2 linked regions of the Rattus norvegicus genome follow. The protein of the gene in region 2 interacts with the protein of the main gene of each other region in a biochemical or structural test. Links are inferred from orthologs where the notes say so. Each region holds a gene or a part of one and is shown on either strand. Other genes may lie near its edges.

Region 1 (3,655 bases), on a different chromosome or scaffold from region 2:
TCTGCCTAAGGCCACAGTGGGTAGATTTTTTTTCCTACCTACTGTGAGGTAAGAAAAAGGAGAGGAAATGTTGTGGTTTGCCCTGAAGTTATCTGTATTTTGATGCTAATTCCACTGCCCCAAGGACAGCTGCCTTGCCTTGTCACTACTCAGAACTCAGGTGACTTCACCAGAGCCACCTCCCCATTGAATTTGTAAAGTACAGGTGAGGGGCAGGTACAGGATAGAAGGAGGCCTGTCATTGGAGGAGAAGGAAAGATGGGCGGGAGAGAAGTTTGAAGGAAGAGGAGGAGACTGGAGGAGGAGAGGGTGAGAAGCCATGGCAGGTGACGTTAAGATTCTGCTCTGTGTATTTACAGGTTGTTATCAATGTTCCTAAGGGATCGAAGGTACTGGGCTTTGTATGTTTAAGTGGGCAATTACATCTTACCAATTGGGTCAAAGATTATTGTGTTGTGTGTTCTTTTATGTGAGGGTTTGAGTGTAGGAAAGTGTGCGGCTGGGATGTGTTTCCGCCAAGATACCTAGCAGATATCTTGGGGCACCGCTGTGCAGACCTAAACGGGTAAAAGACAACTCTACTTTTTATTTACATATTTTTACAACAACAAGGAAAGGCCCCCAGGAATGCCTGTCACACCAGGCTTTGCCTTGTTTTCCCTAGTGTGGTGCTGAGGAAAGAAAAGGATGACCTACAGCATCCAGGCAGGTGTGGAATCCCAGGTAACCCTTGGTCCTCCTTGAAAACCAGCCGATGCTGCCGACCCCTTCTAGCCTCAGTTCCCCAAGGACATGAACGTTGAGGAGTCATAGGGAGCCCCTCCCGAGGGAGTCTGGGCAAAAGCTTGCCCCTTGGGATGAGGTAGCTGGGTGGAGGGGGTAGTCTGTGGTGATCTCAAGTCACCTGTCCCTCCCACAGGGGGAGAGTGGCTGAATTAGAGCCAAAATGGTATTGTGTGGATCATTCAGCAGAACCTAAAAATCCCAGATCAGATGGCTCCCTCAGAGACCTCAGGAAAGGGCTAGGAATTCCAGGCAGACACAGGGACCCTGAATTGTGCTTCTAAAACTGGTGTCATCATCCTGCAAGCCTGGCCCTGGTTTGCCCTGGGGGTCAGGGGAAGGAGGGCGTGTTTGCACACACACACACCTGTTCATGATACTCAACGCCCATGCTCAGAGTATTGACGAGGATGGCTGCCATGATGCCTCGGTTGAAGTACTTGCTGTCTACAATGCGACGTAGCTTGCCACTGAAGGATGCCCAGAGGTGGCCTATCCCTCCTGGTTGTGAGGCCTTCCGCAGTGGTGTCCGCCGCCGCTCATTGCTGTGGCCTGGTGTGCCCACTTCATGGGGCTGCTGCACAGGGTCCCGACAATCCCCATGCCGTACATCCTGGGTAAACTCATAGACTCCGTGGGCATCCGAGTCCCCGCTCTCTGAGCCACTGAATTCAAACTCGGGGTCCTCCAGGGCGCTGGCACAATATGGGCAGCTCTTCAGCTCACAGGTCAGCGTGCCAGCCTGGGGGCTGGGCAGGGGGCAAGGCACACTCAGGCCTGACAGGTGGCTAGAGGCTCGGCCTAGTCCTGTGAGGCAAAGGCATAAACAGTTGTGGCTAGGCCACTGCAGCAGTACCCAGGGCCCTGAGACTCTGGTCTCCATTTCCCCTCCAGCACAATCCCAATTCTAGTTTCTCCACATAGAAAGGGGCAGTGTTTCAGAGATAAATAGATACAAAGAAATGGCCTGACAGTTCCTCTTGGGGTCAGCCTGGAGCAATGGGATGAGGGCCCGGAATACTCAGGACCAAGGACCTGCCTTGCCTGGGTCCCCACTCTGCTCAACATGGCGGGGCTGGGTCCTCACCTTGTTCTCCCACCACATGCTGGATCTTCTCATAGGGTCTGGGGCTTCCCAGGCTCAGAGGGCTGTGTACTGCAGCCCCTGGGGCGCCAGCACCTCGTAGCCCCTTGGGTCGTGAGCTGGTGCCACCTTTGCTGTTGACTGTTCCTGAAGGTAGGATGGTGGGGTAGTTCATGGTACCCAAACCTGAGGCCAGCTTGAGGCTAGCAGCAGTGGCTATGGAGTGTGCCACTCGGGCTCGTTCCTGCGGCCCCTCCACGTGGCAGTCAGCATGGTAGATACTGTGCACAGACTCAGAGTCTGGTGGCCCATGGCCTGGGGATGGCGGCGAGGGTGGCGCACAGGCCCTGACCAACCTGTTGTCACCAGCACCTGGCTCTGGGCTGGGCCTGCGTGGGCCACCGTGGCTAAAGTGGTAATGGTGGTGATGGTGGTGGTGGTGGTGGTAGACCAGATGGTGCACTGAAGCTGTACGCCTGCCTGCCCGTCGTGGCCGCCGCCCAGGGCCTTGGCCATGCACGGTACTGCTGGGATCCACCTTCTTACGCCAGCGGCTCTGCCAGCGGGCATAAAGACGCAGGCTACGGCGTTTAACCTTCCGGAAGATGTGGCCTACATACTTGAGGAGCTCCTCGTAGCAGCTGCCGGGCTCTGAGAAGCTGGCCAGAGTGCTGTCGTTGGACAGATAGCGGGCCCGCTGTTCTCGCATCAGCTGGTTTTCCCTTTGCTTTGTCTCTGAGAACTGTGTGGCTATCACCACCAGGCACAGGTTGATCATGAAGAAGGAGCCCACCTGTGGCAGGGTGTGTGTGACTACCAGCACCTCCGCATCCAGCCCAGCCCGAACCTCTCTGGGGACTGGGGCCTAGTCACAATGCCACAGGCACTGATATTCTGGGAAGTGGCCTACTATAGGTACTTTGCAACTGTGTGATAATGGGTCAGGGACCTCCCCTTGGGGTCCTGCATGAATTCCTGATCCTTAGGTTTGTCCTCAACAAGCCCTCCACTGCAGCCACACTGTCCTTTGGCTTTCAGCGGGGCCTTCCCAGACAAGCTCTATGGCCAGTTCTGCCATTGCTGACTCCCCCCTTGTCCCTGCTGTGGGCTGTCTGAGACTACAACTGTATGACATCCCTTTCTTACCGGGGCCCTGCAGGCGGCTCCCTAAGCATCCAGGGATCTGGAAACGTCTGTTCGATGAACGGATAACGTCCTATCTGAGGACCATGGGATATTGGGGGGCAAGATAAAACTACATCTGAGACATGGATGCTTTGGGGGGCTGTGTGTGGGGTGAATGGTAATGGGGAGTCATGGGCCAAAGAAGTGTGCGGTGATGGATGTTTGAGAGACTCCCAGAGATCCGTGTTCACTACAGGGGGCTTTGCTAGGAGATCCCATGTTTGTTGTGGGAATGCTATGCTAGAGGTACAGTGGGGGACGTGGGGGGGCTGGGACTGACTGTTCTGAAGATTCTGAGCCTTGGGCCTAGGGGCCATATAGGTCTCCTCCCATCCTGAGTTCTTCCTTCAACCATAGGCTGAGCAGAAAAGCCCCCTGCCTGCCCACCCACCGAAGCCCATCCCGCAGCTGCCTCTGTACTACTGACAGCACTCTAGGAGGTCCAGAATGTATGAACGTCAAGGGGGAAGGGGCGGGATATGGCTTCCTCTCCCATCAAATTCGGGATGCCCACCAGCCGGTCACACCCACACTCACAATGATGAGGAGGATGAAGTAGATGAAGTTGTAGAACGAGTGGGCATCCATGACGTAGTACATGAT
Region 2 (3,655 bases):
CCAAGCTGGTCTTGAGGGTAGATTTTCTTTTTTTTTTTTTTTTTCCAGAGCTGGGGACCGAACCCAGGGCCTTGTGCTTGCTAGGCAAGTGCTCTACCACTGAGCTAAATCCCCAACCCCCAAGCTGGTCTTGAACTTAAAGATCCTCCTGCTTCTGCCTCCCAAGTGCTAGGATTAAAGGTGTGCACAACACTGCCCGGATGACCATGCCTATTTTATTTACATGGTGATCGGCATAGAGCCAATATCTGGTAGTATTCACTGAATGACTAAATGACTATAGCAATCTCTTAAAGAGAAATTCATATACCTTGGGGCCTGGGTTACCTCAGCTTCAGGCCCAGAACAGCCGCAGAGGCAGGAATGAGAACCTGAAGCTAGTGTGGGGCGGGGTCCTCCCTCACCTTCTGCATCTTCAGCATGTCGATGCCAAAGTGAGACAGGTGCTCTGCCAGGCTAGGGTCCAGGACCATGTCATCCTCGTCGTAAGAGTACACATCTAGAGGAAAAGGCAGACAGTGTGGCAGGGACAGATAGCTTGGTGCTGGCCTATCTATGAGCTCTACCTCCTGCCCAGAGGACAGAGAGACGGCCAGCAGGATCAGCCTCCTGGCTCACTTGAACTAATTGTCAGAGGAAACAGGGTTTAACAGGATAAGGAATTGTGAGTTTCTTTTTTTTTTTTTTTGGTTCTTTTTTTCGGAGCTGGGGACCGAACCCAGGGCCTTGCGCTTCCTAGGTAAGCGCTCTACCACTGAGCTAAATCCCCAGCCCCGTGAGTTTCTTTTTTAACACATGTATGTGTTGGTGTATATGCAGGGGTGCATTCTCTTCCTCTTGGTTTCTGGTGATAGGTCTCCCATAGTCCAGGCTGACTTCAAATTCGTTATATAGTTGAAGAAAACCTTCACCTTTCGATCCCCCTGCCTCCACTCCTAAGTTCTGGGATAGCAGATGTGCACTAGTGCAATCGCACACACACACGCAGTTCAATTCTGGTTCTGACTGTACCCTGCACCATTAGCTAGGCAGCAGGATAGGTCTGGAAAGACAGTCGCAGCACATGATGATGGCTGGGATCTGTGAAAGGCTTTCGTTATATCGGGAACGCATCTAGGTTATTTGTGTCCTATGAAATGGGTAACTGGAACACAGTAATGGGGAGGGCAGGAGAGTACCAGCTCCATCGGGTGTGATGGTGCCCAGCTTAACAGCTAAGGGGTAGCCAGTCTCCCTGTAGTGCTCCACAGCATGGTTGTTGCCCCCGCTGCCATCAAAGTAGCGCCGGCCGCACAGGATGGAGCCATCTGTCAGGTTGAGCCACAGGTTCTCTCTCATGTCACACTTGGAGCACCTCCAGCCACTAGCCCAGGGAGAAGAAGATTAGCTCAATTGTGGGTGGGGTCTACGGGAGTGGCAACGAGAGGGGAGTCTCCAGGCCCCTGTCAGTCCAACAGCCCATCTTCTCTCTTCTGCATCCCTGTACTGTTCATCGCCCCCATATCTTCCTTCTGGGCTTGCTCCCTACCCCCTCTCTTACCAGCTCCCAGACAGAGATGGCCTCTGTACCCCCCTTCAGTGATGGTGCCCCATGACAAGAGGAGCCAGGTCTCACCAGGGAGGGATCCGAGCGGGGTTGTCCAACTGCTTGAGGTTGAAGGCATGCTTAGACACCTGACGGACTTCCCCATCCCAAGCCTGTACCTCCTGCTTCCGAGAGGCTGAATCAGCCGAAAGTAGGGCTTCCACTGCACTGGTCACCTACAAGAACTGAAAAGTCAGCCAGGACCCCGCCTCTGCCCCACTCACCCTGTCACCCGTGGTCTCCTGTTTTGTTAGTACTGTCACAGCAGCCCCTCCTGCCCTACAATCTCTAGAAGGGTGGTAAGATATGCATACCCGATCTCTGACAATGTCGGGAAGCCCCCCCAACCCATCCCGAGCGATCTCCAGGTAATCTGGCAAAATGACAATCTTCACGTCCTCATCATATTCAAACTTGTCCTCGGTGAGGTCAAACCCACCTTCAACACCTGGGTAGGGCAGAGAATACGGAAGAAAGTAGGGCAGCTACCATTTGTCATCGTCTCTCCAGTTTGTCCCCCCGGACTTCTGAGGCCACTGATCAGGCTCAGGGCTGTCCCGGCAGATAGCTCACCAATGGCCAGCCGGGTGGGCTTCTTCCGGGGTGGGTCTCCAGTGCCTGCGCTGGAGTCCTCTTCTTTCTGAAATGAAAAGAGGTTCAGAGGGCCGGGCATGATGGCACACGACTTTGTCCTAGCATTTGGGAGACAGAAGCAGGAGCTCTAAGAGTTCCAGGCTACTCAGTAAAGGGTCAGGACCAGCACTAAGCCTCAGGGACAGAAGGAAAAAGGGAGGTGAGGAGAAAAGATGGTGAACTGCACAACGCAAGGAGGCTGATCAACAGATTTCAGTGACACAAATGAGAGTGTGACAGGAAAGCAAAGGACAATACAGAGTTAGAGGGCTGCTGGCTAGTTTTATGTCAACTTAACACAGCTAGCATTAGCAGGAAGGAGGGAGCCTCAGCTGAGAAAATAACTCCATAAGTTCCAGCTGTAGCAAGCCTGTAGGGCAGCAGTTCTCAGCCTGTGTTTTGTATCCCCACAGGGATCACCTATCGGATATTTGCATTACAATTCATATCAGTAGCAAAATTATAGTTATCAAGTAGTAACAAAAATAATTTTATGGGGGCTGGAGAGATGGCTCAGCGGTTAAGAGCACTGACTGCTCTTCTGGAGGCTCTGAGTTCAAATCCCAGCAACCACATGGTGGCCCACAACCATCTGTAATGGGATCTGATGCCCTCTTCTGGTGTGTCTGAAGACAGCTACAGTGTACTTATATATAATAAGTAAATAAATCTTTAAAAAGTAATAATTTTATGGTTGGGGGTTGTGATGATTTGCATATGCTTGGCCCAGGGTGTGGTACTACTAGAAGGTGTGGTCTTGTTGGAGGAAGTGTCACTGTGGGGGTGGGCTTGGAGACCCTCCTCCTAGCTGCCTGAGGCTGAAGATGTAGAACTCAGCTCCTCCTGCACCATGCCTGCCTGGATGCTGCCATGCTCCTGCCTTGATGATAATGGACTGAACCTCTGAACCTGTAAGCGAGCCCCAATTAAATGTTGTCCTTTATAAAACTTACATTAGCCCTGGTGTCTGTTCACAGCAATAAGACCCTAACTAAGACAGGGGTCATCACTACATGAGAATTGTTGTGGTCACATCATTAGAATCACGGCTGTAGGGCATTTTCTTAATGCCTGGTGTGGAAGGGCCCAGCCTAATGTGAGTGCCATCCCTAGGCTGGTAGTCCTAGGTTCTGTAAGGTTGAGCCAGCCAGTAAGCAGAACCCCCTCCATGGCCTCTGCTTCAGCTCTTGCCTCCAGGTTCCTGCCCTCCTTGAGTTCCTGTCCTAACTTCCTTCAATGATGGATTATGGTGTAGAAGTGTAAACCAAATACAGTGTCAGCCCATTCTCCCAACTTGTTTTTGGTCATGGTGTTTCACCATAGCAATAACCCTAACTAAGAAGAACCCTAACTCAAAACAGACACCTAGTGGAATGAGTCTGGGTGTTCCCAGCCCACACCCTAGCCACTATGCCTACCGGTCGCCGGGTCCTCCGA

What was found. The genes of interacting proteins can lie anywhere in the genome.
Region 1: the proteins of Usp5 (region 2) and Cacna1h form a complex in vitro, tested with the Homo sapiens proteins (2 studies listed by BioGRID, with this or other methods). The link is inferred for Rattus norvegicus from reciprocal best matches to the Homo sapiens genes USP5 and CACNA1H.

Annotation. Positions count from the first base shown.
Region 1 is NC_086028.1:14,909,825-14,913,479, forward strand, and holds part of Cacna1h (voltage-dependent T-type calcium channel subunit alpha-1H), read right to left. Parts: coding exon 3,590-3,655; intron 3,088-3,589; exon of another isoform or gene 3,014-3,087; intron 2,661-3,013; coding exon 1,871-2,660; intron 1,591-1,870; coding exon 1,151-1,590; intron 1-1,150.
Region 2 is NC_086022.1:159,314,376-159,318,030, forward strand, and holds part of Usp5 (ubiquitin carboxyl-terminal hydrolase 5), read right to left. Parts: coding exon 3,637-3,655; intron 2,226-3,636; coding exon 2,159-2,225; intron 2,034-2,158; coding exon 1,900-2,033; intron 1,762-1,899; coding exon 1,616-1,761; intron 1,364-1,615; coding exon 1,179-1,363; intron 500-1,178; coding exon 405-499; intron 1-404. UniProt on the Homo sapiens protein: Deubiquitinating enzyme that participates in a wide range of cellular processes by specifically cleaving isopeptide bonds between ubiquitin and substrate proteins or ubiquitin itself.